3 linked regions of the Mus musculus genome follow. The main gene of each other region encodes a partner of the protein of the gene in region 2 in a complex. Links are inferred from orthologs where the notes say so. Each region holds a gene or a part of one and is shown on either strand. Other genes may lie near its edges. The genes, in order: Sptssa, Sptlc2 and Ormdl3.

Region 1 (4,362 bases), about 33 Mb from region 2:
AGGAGATATCTAGCAAGAAGGAAACTTCCAGCTCAGATCCAGCTTGGTTTCTGAGCTTACTTCTTACCATCATGTGTCTGAAAGATGAGTCCAGGCTCGGTGTGGTTGGTGCATACCTGTAATCGTAGCTCGAAGGAGTCTGAGAAAGGTGAATTACTTTGAGATCGAGGCCAGCCTATACTACATAGTGAGGTCCTGTATATTGGTTAAGTTATTTTTGTTTTTGTTTTTCATTTCCACAAAAAACTAGAATCACTTGGGAAGAGGGAACCTTAGCTGAGGAACATGAGATTGGTCTATGGTGGGCGTGTCCTCCCTACTGTGGGCAGTGCCATTGCTAGGCAAGTGGGGTCTGGGCCGTTTAAGAAAGCAAGTTGAGCAAGCCAGAAAGAGCATGCTCCTAAGCAGTATTCCTCTGTGGTTTCTGCTTCAATCTCCTGCCTGGAGTTCCTGGCTTGGCTTCCCTCCGTGATGTTCTGTAACCTACAAGACGAAATAAAATAAAATAAAATGACTAGGCACCTTGTGAAAGCAGATCTCAAGTCTATTGTTGTTTGTAAGGTCTTTGCTCGTAAGGAGCATAAGGAATTTAAGTTAATACCTGTCAACCTGGAAAGGTTTTAAAGCTTAAAGCAGCAGGTTTGAAACTTTTAGACATGTGAGTTGCAGGCTACTTAATTATGTCATTTCACAAGCACACAGTGCATGGGCTTTAGAGGAGTGGAATACAGCCGGTACTGCTGCAGGTCATAGGAGTGAATCTTTAGGAGACAGATCACATGCTGACCTCAAGCTGTCTTTAGAACCCACTAGATCAAGTGCACTTCTCTTGATTGTGACCTACATGGTTGTTTTCTAAGTGTAGTCATAGAAATATTGGCAACTGTCTATGGCCAATTCTTTTGTCTTTAGGTTAGGGAATACTAGTGCGTGTGTGTGTGTGTGTGTTGTGTGTGTGTGTACTCGCGCGCGCATCCTAGATAGGTCTGTTTTCACGCATGTGCTCGGAGGAAGGGAAGAGCTGATGAACATATTACTTCTACAGTTTTCAACATCTTCTTGGCTGGGTGTCATTTGGCATCCACATTCTCTTTGACCCCCGCATTCCCTCTTGCACAAGGCACTGTTTATTTGCATGCCCGACTCTTTAGTAGCATTCTCACCCAGCCCTATCATCTCTTGGCCCAGAAGGGATTCATGAGGTAGGAGAGAGATTACATACACTGGTTTCTAAAGGAATCCTTCTGGGCTGGTCTGAAGGATCCGGCCTCTTAAGGGCACCATCTCGCATGGACACCAGTGGGGACTGAAGCCGGTCTTGCAACCGCCATGCGTGCGCGTGGAGATGCAGAACTAGCACTTAAACCCAGACCGTTTCCCAGGGCTGGGGAGCTCGCTCCGGGCGAGGCGCGGGGCGGGACAGGAGCACACGAAGTGGCCGCTTGGCCAATAAGCGCAAGCCAGGAGGAGCCGGCGGTGGCCGCTCGGGTGCGCGCGGGGTTGGGCGTACACGGTGACGCGCAGGCTCGGCAGGACCAATGGGCGCAGGGTGGTGGCGGGCGGGCCCCAAGGCCTGGGGCTTTAGGAGGTGAGCGGGCCGCGGGCCCGCCTGACGCTGCTACACCGCGGGAGGCGCATGGCGGGCATGGCGCTGGCGCGAGCATGGAAGCAGATGTCCTGGTTCTACTACCAGTACCTGCTGGTCACTGCGCTCTACATGCTGGAGCCCTGGGAGCGAACCGTGTTCAGTATCCTGTGTGTCCTGGCCTGGCTGGGGCGTGGAGGGGTGCGCGCGCCGGGTTGGAAGGGGGTGGGGGGGTGTCTTGGGGTCAAGGGAGGTGGAACCGCGGAGATCCGGGTCTTGTACGCAATTCCCCTGCCCAAGGTGGAGGCATCCTGATTTCTGCAAGCAGTCGGGAGGGCGACGTCTCCCCTGGTGCTTCCTTGTCCCGCTTCGGCCGCGCCTGCTTTTGATCCTTCAGTATTCTTTGAGGCAGGGTTGCTGCAAATCGCTCCGGGCTTGGGCGTCTTTAACCCTTAGCTATTCCTGATTTGGAGCGATAGAACTCTAACCAGTTCACCAGGTTGTGAGTACGTGGTCTTGACACTCCCACACAGTTTTGGAAAGCAGTTTGTAAGTTACTGAAAGGCCTTTTGGGCTTCAAAATGGCAGTTTTAAAAGTGTGTTATATTTATGACTTCTTTGCATCATAGGTACAAGCTGTGCCCAGAAAAGACTTTGCTGGGGTTTCAAACTGTGCTTTGTTGTTTAGTTTATCACCGGTTAAGAATTGTTGAGTGATGACTTTGCTGAGCACTTTGTGTGTATGTTATCTTGCCTAATTTTAACAGCTCCAGCGAATAGCTCAAGGTTGTGAAGCCTGATGTTTGTTTTCGCCCAATGTCTATGCCGCTATCCTCTGATTTCCGTGTCGACGAAATACTAGCAATTCATTCTTTTAACGCTCCACTTCTCCTTTCCTTAATATAAAAAGAATATACCACATCACATGCTTATTTCATCCGCTCAGCTTCTTGTGGTTTAGCTTTGTTAGGAACAACTTCACAAACGCGTTCCTAGGACTGAGGTAGAGCTTCTTTGCAAGCTTTTTCAAGGGTGCTGGTGTGGAAATAGCATGAGGTTATTTGGAGCTGACTCTTGAAAAATTTTAGCGTCTTGCAAGACTATTACTGTGAGCAATTATTTCCTAACCTAAAGTTTAATAACCAGAATGTATATTTGGGGCTCCGGATTAAGAAAGCCTGATTTTCCGAATCGTTTATTTGTAGCTTCAGTTTGCTCTTTGGATTTTGTAGGTCAGATAACATCTATATTTAAATTTATGCCTAATTGGAACTTTTCAATAGTAGCAGGTAATCTTTTGATTAATTCATTAATTAATTCAAAACACGGTTTCTCTGTGTACCCCTGGATGTCCTGGAACTCATTCTGTAGACCAGGCTGGGTAGCAGTTAATCTTGACTGATAATTATCTTACTACAATTAATGTTGACAAAGCCCCATTAAATAATAATAATGAAAGCCAGCTGTGATGGTTCATGACTGATTACCATGCTCAGAGAGCTGATTCAAGAGGAATGCTGGGAGTTCAAGGCTGCCTGAGGTACATAATACATAGCTACTACCAGGCAAGCCAGGGTTACATAGCAAAACTCAAAGGAAAAGGAAGCCAGGCAGGCAGGCAAAGAAACAGTGTTGGGGTGAAGTGAAACTCTTTAGGTTAGGGTAACAGTAGAACTCAGTTTAGACCTGTAAGCTTTGAAACATTTGTTGGCATGTGGATAAATGCTACAGTGGCAACAGTGTTAAGATTTCTCTGGCTATATTGTAATAGAAATACTGACCCGGGGCCAGATGGCAGTGGCTCACATCTCTAAACCCAGCACTCTGGCAGCAGAAGCACACCGATCTCTGAGTTTGAGGACAGCTTGGTCTACAGAAAGAGTTCCAGGACAACCAAGGCTACACAGAGAAACCCTGTTTCCAAGGGGGGGGGGGGAATTTTTGTTTGAAAAAGTGCCTTTTTCTGTTCTTCTGTTCAAATAGTTGTGGGCATGGCTAGGTGTGGTGGTGCATGCTTGCCTGTAATTCTAGTACTTGGGGAGGTAGCTTCAGGAGCATCAGCAGTTAAAGGCTAGCTTCAGCTACATGTAGGTTTGAGGGCAGCGTTGGCTTCATGAAACCCTGTTCCTCAGAAAACACAGAACCAAACCAAGCCACCCCCACCAAAGGTGCTGATAGAATTACTGTTTCCTTTTGGAGACAGGGCTTGGTGCTGTGCCAGATGTCTGTTATCTGAATGAAAACATTACCCAGGTTAGTTATTATGCCGTTGTTTGCTGTGTTAGAGGTTCTTTGTGTCCCCGGGAAATGTACAGTTATGAGATTGAGGAAGAGGAGAGAGAGTGAGGCGGGGAATGGCAAGACCTAGTAGCCCAGGGAAAGATCTCTGATGGTCTTAATAACTCTCTTAGCTTCCTGGGAGATTGTCTCCTCAGCTCCCAGTTCCTAAGCTTTGGTTTGTTTTGCACTACCTTTGAATTGAGAATGTTAGAATACAGGGCTGGTAAGATGGCTCAGGGGTTAAGAGCACTGACTGCTCTCTCCCAGGGGTCCTGAGTTCAATTCCCAGCAACCACATGGTGGCTCACAACCAACTGTAATGGGATCTGGTGCCCTCTTCTGGTGTGTCTGAAGACAACTACAGTGCACTCAGATGTATAAAATAAATAACTAGAAACAAAGAAAGAGAGAGAATGTTAGACTACCTACTAGCTGTACTCCTGTGTAAGATAAGGAAGACAATGCCTAAGGTCTGGTCTGTGTCCCACAGTGCTTCA
Region 2 (4,145 bases):
ACTCTGGACAAGCAGTGTCCAGTACTTCACTGCTGAGCCATCTCTCCAGGCCCCATAGAGTTCTTTTTGATTCTCGTGTTCACTTTTGAGATCAAAGGGTTTGTGACTTGAAAGTTTTGTCCTTGCTCCACTTGCTGTTAAGAGTACCTCTTCTAAATCAAGCAAAACAAATAACCTTGCCAACGCAGTTCTAAAGCTCCAGGGGAGAAGGGGTTGTGTGACACAGGGATTCACACAGATGCATTCGGCAATTAATAATAACCAGCACTTAATGAATACTTACTAATTGCCAGGTCCTAAGCAAAATACATTACAGGCATTAACTCATTAGATTCTCTTATGGCAACTGTTATTATCCCCCTGAGCAGAGGAACATAGAGGTCACTCAGCTAGTAGGTGAGGCAGCCAGGATTCAAACCTAGACTGAGTCATACTCTTAATTATGACATTGATTTTTTTTTTTATGGGTAACTAAAGGTCTTTGTAATGCTGAAATGTAGATCAATTTCTTTTGCTACTGATTTGGATTAGGTATTGTGATAGGTGTCCAGCGCTTTACTAATGTAATTCTGGCAAATGAGTCCATGAAGCAGGAAGAATTTTAAAAGAACTTGGCTCCTAAAGGAGTTAATTCCTCAAGTTTCAGTTTCAGTTATCACAAGATCTGGAAACAGATCAAGTCTCCTGACTTTCAAGGAAAGTCTTCAAAGGAAATTGCCCTAGGAAAACCCGGATAGAAACAAGTGATGTGCGCGCGAGGCGTTCGCGTAGTTCACAATGAAGAACAGTGAGAGACTGTCAAAAAGGCTATTCTATTAACACCCACAGAGGAATTTGCTAATGAAATAAAGGAGCTGCCTGTCTTGGGCTCGGATTCAACCTGAGAACCTCTCGGGAGGAAGGGCACAGAGGGCAACCACCACCAGTGCTAGAGAACCGGGAACAGGCTCTGGAAATAGGCTCAGCCCCTGTTTCTTTCTCCACACTCTAATTGGCTGTTCCTTTCCGGGCTCCGCCTCCTTCTCAACCTGGACCAGTAGGCGGCAAAGCTCCACCTACGACCTGGCTAGGGCTCCAATCAATTGCTCAGTTCTCGAGTTCCTCTGAAGAAGTCCCCTTGATGTCTGCAAGCCGCTTTTCCCTTGCTCTTAATTCGCCAGAATCAGCATGAGATCCGCCCCTCTCGCCTTTGGATTGGTCAATAGCCGATAGACCCCGCCCCATGTTCCCTCCGGCTGCCGGGCTTCGGCGAGCCCCGTCTTCTCGGGTGGCCCCGCCCTCGCGTGACGGCCGGACCGGGAATTGGCAGCGGCGCTGCAGCCATTTCCGGTTTCGGAGAGGTGGGTGCGGTGCGGAGCGGGAGTTGGCTCCGCCGCCACCTCCAGAGCCTGTCCTGCTGCCGGGTGCTGCCGGGAGGATGCGGCCGGAGCCCGGAGGCTGCTGCTGCCGCCGCCCGATGCGGGCGAACGGCTGCGTCAAGAACGGGGAAGTGAGGAACGGGTACTTGAGGAGCAGCACCGCCACCGTCGCGGCTGCCGGCCAGGTACGATGGGATCGAGAGGCTGGGCGAGATCGGGGCGGTGGGCCGGGACCCCCGCGAGCCGATGCCCGGGCTGGGCCGGGCCGGGCCGGGGAGGACGGGCAGCCGCGCGGGCCGGTCAGTGGCCGGCTGGCGGCTGGGCGCGGCTCAGGTGTGCTGAGCGACGGGGAGCCGGCGCTGGCTGGGCCTCCCCCCTGAGCGGGAGGGAGACTCAAGGGCAGCGCGGGACTCTACAACTATGTGGGGCTCCCTCACCGTGAGGGGCTCCTCGGTTCTGCCCGCTTCTCCAGTTATTCGAGCCTTCCCAGTACTACCCGGCTCCGCAGCGATGAGCTGTGGTTCTCTGCCCTGCGGGGGTCCCAAGGTTTACCTGGTTTCTTAGGTGTGCGGTGTCCCCTAGTTCTGCCTGGCTCTCCAGCCTCCCGGGGCTCCTCAGCCACGCGGGACTCCTGAGGTCTGCCCGGCTCCTCAGCATTTGCTGTTCTGAAGGGCCCTGGAGGCTGGGCTTCCTCTGCAAGTCTCTGGTTCTTAACCATGTGGATCACGCAAAAAAAAAAAAAAAAAAGTGCAGGCCGCTCCTAGTGGGAAGCAGAGGAAATCTTTCCCTCGAAGTCCGGCGATACTTTCTCGGGTTCCTGCCCGGGTCCCCTCGAGTACATGCTTCCTGTAGAGTCTTGCAGCCCCAAAAGGAAGCTGACGCTCTGAGAAAGTTAGGCAGTGCAGTTGTGGAAGCACAACCGGACAGCCTCTTCCTATCACGTTCTGGACTTCCTTTATGGGGAAAACCTTGGCAGGGAACCTCCTCGGGGGTCTTGTCTTGAAAATTGTCCCGTTGTGCGATTGGTGAGACCCCCATCCCACCATCCAGATAGGATTTTAGGTGGCCCCTTCACGGCGCAATAGAGCTATCGTGGAGGGCGTTGCTTAATCCAGTGGTAAGTTGTCATGAGTCCTTGTATTAATTAACTGAAGTTGAATCATCAACCATATCCATGAACTTCTAAACTATCTTACAGAATTCTGAATTCCTAGCAGTATTTTGCTTGTTTCCAGACATGGTTTCTCTGAGTAACAGCCCTCTCAGGCTGTTCTGCTTTGTAGACTAAGCCTGACTTCCAACTTAAAAGAGATCTGCCTTTGCCTCCCAAGAGCAACTAAGACCCCAACACCTGGCTTTCCTGACAGTTTTATTTATTTATTTATTTTCTGAGACAGGGTTTCTCTGTGTAGCCCTGGCTGTCCTGGAACTCACTGTGTTGACCAGGCTGGCCTCGAACTCACAGACCTGCCTCTGCCTCCCAAGTGCTAGGATTCAAGGCATGTGCTACTCTACCCCCTGGCTCCTGGCAGTATTTTTTAAACCAATTATGCAAATATCGGGAAGAATGGTTTTAAAAGTTGCTCGTTCCCCTTAGCAGGAGTGTGATTGGTGTAGTTTTGATAGGTCAGTGACCCTATTTCATCTTCAACATAGATACTAAGCAATAGCAACCTGTCCCCTACCTGAATCAGTAACTCTGATAGATGTGTTAATCCTGTGGTATGAAAGGGTTATCTTCAAGTCTTATGACCCTGGGGGAGAGTTGAGGGTTAGGAGTGGGAGTGCACAGAAAAGACTTGGCCTCCCTTGAGTGTGTAAGGTGTTTAAGAGTCAAAAGATTGCTTTCAAAAAGAATTGTGTGAGAGGAGGTGTGTTAGGAGTCAGTTTGCAGTCTGAGTTTGATATGACTTGTTTGTAATCCCAGCCCTCAGGCAGGTATATCTCTGAGCTCAGGCTGGCCTGGTCTGCATAGTGGGTTCTAGGACAGCAGGGCGATGAGGGACCCTGCCTCCAAAAAACGGGGATGTGGGGAGGAGTCAGTCTGTTATGAGCCATGAAAGAATGTGCTGTTTTCCCTAGAAGTGTAAAATGGCTAATGAGCAACGTTGTGGAGGTATAGAATGTATCTGGGAGGTTGAGTAACTGGAGCTAGAAGAGAACTGATGAATGGGTGAGTTAGGACTTTTGTGAGGAAAAAGGAAGTCCAGACAAAGCTGGGCATGTGTTAGAGGTGCTTTCTAACATAAGCCACTAGGAGTTATATTTTGAGTAAATAGTAAGTCAAGTTCTGACCTCCTGGAATCCCAGCAATTATCATTTGTAAGCATGGTATTTCTTCAGAGGTTGGCAACTATTAAGATGAAATACCAAGTTACTAAAATGAAATATAAAAATCTGTGACTAGCTGTGATAGAATATCCTAAGGGCTGTACTACTATCTTTTCGAGAAAACGATTTTTCACAAATTATTTTAAAGCAGGTACTACATTTATAAGGAATAAGATCTCTAAGTTTATGAGAAAAAGAGAATATCTTAAAATAGTTCGTGAAGTTGGTTGTGTTAAATTAAATCTATGTGCTCCAGCTCCTACCTGTCTTTCCTTGCATCCTGAAGGGGGAGTATTGCCTTTTTTTTTTTCTTTTTCTTTTTCTGAAAATACACAGTAAGATGCAAACTAGATACCCAAGGGTCTTGCTTTCACTAAAGTACTATTGCATGGATGAAATGTAAAATTGTTTGCTCACATCATGTCTTAACATTGCTTTTTAATGCACAGGAGAGAA
Region 3 (3,590 bases), on a different chromosome or scaffold from region 2:
CTGGGCTTGAGACTCCCAACAGTGGACAGTGGTGTGGAGTTCTCAGGGAGTGAAAAGCCTGCCTCTCTGGGGCTTGGGGTGTGAGGGGCAGGGAAAGTGGTGTGACTTGTCTCACCTGTGTTGCTCTTTTGCAGAGCGGCAGTCAAGAGGGGTGGCAGGATGAATGTGGGCACAGCACACAGTGAGGTGAACCCCAACACACGGGTGATGAACAGTCGCGGCATCTGGCTCTCCTACGTGCTGGCCATCGGACTCCTGCATGTCGTGCTGCTGAGCATTCCCTTTGTGAGCGTCCCTGTCGTCTGGACCCTCACCAACCTTATCCACAACCTGGTAAGATCCTGCTTACCACCAGCCACCCCCCCACCCCCCCCCCACCCCCCGTGCGGGCTGTTCTAGGCCAGAGCTGAGAGATAGGAGGAGCTTCTAATGGGACAGACAGCAGGTCCTGACAACATCTGTCACCAGAGCCCAGGCCCAACTCTTACCTGGCTCCCCCTTGTGGGCTTTAGAATCAAATTTGCACATCGTCCATGTCTCCCTAGTTGGGTGGCTGGTGTGTTTGAAGGACAGCAAACTGGGAGCTGAGCCCATGCTGAGGCTGCCCCCAGGTCCCAGGAATCTGTGCAGAGACATTCTTTTCCCATATTAGGATCTCATAATCCTCTGTGCTCCCTAAAACCTGCTGCTTTGTACCCCACTTTTGAGCAGGCTGGGGTCTAGTCCTTCCTCCTTGGTTTGCTCCTTTTAGCTAACATGTAGAGACCCCAGTTGGGCTGGAAAGGCTGCCTTGCTGTGTCCGTTCCTTCCTTATTTCCCCCCTTGTTCTCCCACCAAGCTCTGGTGCGCTCTCCTGTGTTAAGGCTGCCTTCCTGAGTTACTGCAGCAGAGCAGGTGGCAGTCCACCCAGAGCTGCTGCTGTCTGATAAGTGGGGGAGCCAGGCTGGGAGCCATCTCGTATGTTCTGACAAAGGCCCCTCTTTTCAGGGCATGTACATCTTTCTGCACACCGTGAAAGGGACGCCCTTCGAGACTCCAGACCAAGGCAAAGCAAGGTTGCTGACCCACTGGGAGCAGATGGACTACGGGGTCCAGTTCACAGCCTCTAGGAAGTTCTTAACCATCACGCCTATAGTGCTGTGAGTACTCTGGCTATGGGAGAATAAGCAGAGGTAAACGGGTGGGCTCAGCTGGCCCTAAACCCTCCCAGCTTTGGCCCTTGCTGTATGGATGAGCAGAGGGAGGGAAGAGACATATTCTTGGGTCTCACACGGGGCCTTTGGCCTCCCTGGCCCTGTCTTTCCTCACTGGAGTAAGCTGGGGGGGAAGGTAGGTCAGGAGGGCCTTGCTAGCTAGAGAGTTGTCACTCCACTTCTTATCTGGGAACCCATATTTCCTCCTTCCCTCCCTCCCTCCCTCCCCTCCAGGTACTTCCTCACCAGCTTCTACACCAAGTATGACCAAGTCCATTTCATACTCAACACTGTGTCCTTGATGACTGTGCTCATTCCCAAGCTCCCCCAGCTCCACGGAGTCCGGATCTTTGGAATCAATAAGTACTGAGGTTGTAGCCCCTTCCCCAGCCGGGTTGGCAGGGGAAGGGTGGAAGGCCTTTGCTGTGATGCTGAAGACAGGAGCCTCTGGACACTGCCAGAGATGGGGGTGTGCCCTGGGCCTGGCTTCCCCCTCGCTTCCCCAGTAGCCGACTTGGAGTAGCTTGTAGTGGGGTTAGGGTGGGGCCCTTGGGCTCTAACCCATTCTGAAGTTTTTGATCTTTTTCCTTTTGCCTTTTGAATAGAGATGCCATGGGGGTGGTCAGGAAAGAGGCTGGGCTCTCTGGCTGACTGTGGGCCTGAGAAATTGGGACAGGAAGCCAGGAAAAGGCCCTGTTGGCTTGTTTACCCTCAGGCAGCCATAGCACTTTAGCCCCCAAAAAGGGGGGCAGAGGGACGGTACAGCTTCTGCATTGGTTGCCCTCATTCCTTCAGTGTGTGAAGCGAGACTCGCTGTTCTGTATGTATTAGAACCCTGCGCCGTGCTGCCTCTGCCGCCAGGCAGGGAGCAGGCGGGCTTTGTGGGCTTCCTGGCAACCCACGATGGGTAGGCTGTGGGGCAGGGGAGATTAGGAAAGGAAGATGGGTTGATGGGACACCTAGAGGTGGGGACAGGATGCTGCCACCTTGGTCCTGGGGAGAGGGGAGTTCTGAGCAAGGGTTGGGTGGGGATAGTAAGTTGGGTCTTACTTAGAATGGACAAGATAACTGCAGCCGATATGGATCAGTGTAAAAAAAAAAGAGGTCTGGGAAGGAGAAGCCAGACTCCGCCTCCTCTGAGATGTGGGCTAGGAGGAGAGCTGGCGTGGAGGGTTAATTTACCCACAGAACGATGCTGATAGGAAGGGAGGCCCCTGTGGGTTTGAACTCCTGGGTTGGAATGAGGATATGCACAGGCTGGAAGGGCCTGTGAGTCCTCAGAAGCGGGTTCACTTCGACACTTCCCTTAGTGGTGTGTGTGGGCGCGCGCGGAAGCTTTCTGAGAGGCTCTTCCTTAAGCGTTCAATTCGTATTCTTGTGTAGATTGTGCTGGGGCAGTGCCTCTTGTGTGGCTTGCATGTGAATGGTCAGGAGGCCACCTCCACATGTGGTCAGTGGCCTCCACAGTGCTACAGGATCTCTGCCCAAACCAGGCAGTAGTAGGGGCAGCTGCAGGCACTGTCCTCAGCCCAAAGAGAGGCAGGTCATGGAGCCTGAGGCTAGGCCGAGAGGAGCTGTCTCTCCACTCGCTGGGTCGACTGGGGCATGTTCCTTTGGAAACGCGTGGCTACCCAAGCCCTCTCCCAGGGAGGGGCTGGAGGGAGGTCACTCACCTGTTTGTCCCCCTCCCCCTCATTCTGAACCCAGTGTATCATAGGGAACTTTCACCTTCTGGTCTTTCTAAGCAAAGTGTGAATAGGATTTTTACTCCCTTTGTACAGTATTCTGAAAAAATGCAAATAAAGAGCAACATGTTCTGTTTACCATGTCTGGCCTCTGCTTCCTGGCGGGTGGGCCCTGGGAGGAAAGCTGGCGGCAGTGGGAGCAACGGCAGCTCCTGCCTAGGCAGTAGTGGGGACTCTGGGGCGGCTGCCTTTTTCCAGGTCCAGGAGCCAAAGGCGATGTGAGGAAGATGGTGAGGACCCTGGTAAGTCAGAGTGGAGTCCTGCTGTCCTCGGTTGGCTCTGAGCATCCGGCTTTATAGGTCTGGCTGGGGGAATCTGGAATGGGGCGTGGTGGCCGGGAAGGCCAGTCTAGACCTTTACAAGTGGAGTGGGGTGGGGGTTACCTCTGGTTCTCCGGTTTCCTACTGGCACTGTGAATCTATCCTCTTTTCTCTCTCACCTTGGTCATTTCCAGCCAGTTCCTGTTTTGGAGAGGGTTGGCCTTTGTGCTTCCTCCTGCTTTGAGGATTAGGAGGAGAGGAGGGTTCATTGTGGCTTTTGCTAGCACAGCGAGGAGAGGGAGGACACTCCCTTTATCTCCCGAGGACACTGGCCTCTCGGGCTGTCCTGTGTACTATCTGCTGCTCCCTGGCCAGTACAAAGTTCCAGGCAA

What was found.
Region 1: the proteins of Sptlc2 (region 2) and Sptssa are in contact, whole or in part, in a cryo-EM structure (PDB 7K0K), measured with the Homo sapiens proteins. The link is inferred for Mus musculus from reciprocal best matches to the Homo sapiens genes SPTLC2 and SPTSSA. Residues at the interface, in NP_004854.1 of Homo sapiens: Leu73, Gly77, Val80, Leu81, Phe84, Leu87, Arg88, Leu91, Leu126, Arg129, Ile130, Tyr156, Met475, Pro476, Ala477, Lys478, Gly480, Ala481, Arg484, Glu485, Asp533, Leu534, Leu535, Gln536; in NP_612145.2 of Homo sapiens: Trp15, Tyr18, Gln19, Leu21, Leu22, Val23, Thr24, Ala25, Tyr27, Met28, Leu29, Glu30, Pro31, Trp32, Glu33, Val36, Phe37.
Region 3: the proteins of Sptlc2 (region 2) and Ormdl3 are in contact, whole or in part, in a cryo-EM structure (PDB 7K0O), measured with the Homo sapiens proteins. The link is inferred for Mus musculus from reciprocal best matches to the Homo sapiens genes SPTLC2 and ORMDL3. Residues at the interface, in NP_004854.1 of Homo sapiens: Glu65, Thr66, Pro67, Met68, Ala71, Val72, Tyr75, Tyr86, Gln116, Phe118, Glu119, Asn120, Phe121, Tyr122, Tyr127, Trp134, Asp259, Glu260, Leu261, Asn262, Val267, Arg271, Ile279, Met320, Val495, Val496, Gly497, Phe498, Pro499, Ala500; in NP_001307730.1 of Homo sapiens: Met1, Asn2, Val3, Gly4, Thr5, Ala6, His7, Ser8, Pro12, Val16, Ser19, Arg20, Gly21, Ile22, Leu24, Ser25, Leu28, Phe63, Val67, Lys68, Gly69, Thr70, Pro71, Phe72, Glu73, Pro75, Gln77, Arg81.

What each region holds. Positions count from the first base shown.
Region 1 is NC_000078.6:54,653,758-54,658,119, reverse strand, and holds the start of Sptssa (serine palmitoyltransferase small subunit A), read left to right. Parts: upstream 1-1,547; 5' UTR 1,548-1,636; coding exon 1,637-1,748; intron 1,749-4,362. UniProt on the Homo sapiens protein: Component of the serine palmitoyltransferase multisubunit enzyme (SPT) that catalyzes the initial and rate-limiting step in sphingolipid biosynthesis by condensing L-serine and activated acyl-CoA (most commonly palmitoyl-CoA) to form long-chain bases.
Region 2 is NC_000078.6:87,385,444-87,389,588, reverse strand, and holds the start of Sptlc2 (serine palmitoyltransferase 2), read left to right. Parts: upstream 1-1,233; 5' UTR 1,234-1,417; coding exon 1,418-1,543; intron 1,544-1,910; exon of another isoform or gene 1,911-4,145. UniProt on the Homo sapiens protein: Component of the serine palmitoyltransferase multisubunit enzyme (SPT) that catalyzes the initial and rate-limiting step in sphingolipid biosynthesis by condensing L-serine and activated acyl-CoA (most commonly palmitoyl-CoA) to form long-chain bases.
Region 3 is NC_000077.6:98,580,685-98,584,274, reverse strand, and holds the end of Ormdl3 (ORM1-like protein 3), read left to right. Parts: intron 1-134; 5' UTR 135-159; coding exon 160-333; intron 334-987; coding exon 988-1,139; intron 1,140-1,427; coding exon 1,428-1,563; 3' UTR 1,564-2,981; downstream 2,982-3,590. UniProt on the Homo sapiens protein: Plays an essential role in the homeostatic regulation of sphingolipid de novo biosynthesis by modulating the activity of the serine palmitoyltransferase (SPT) in response to ceramide levels.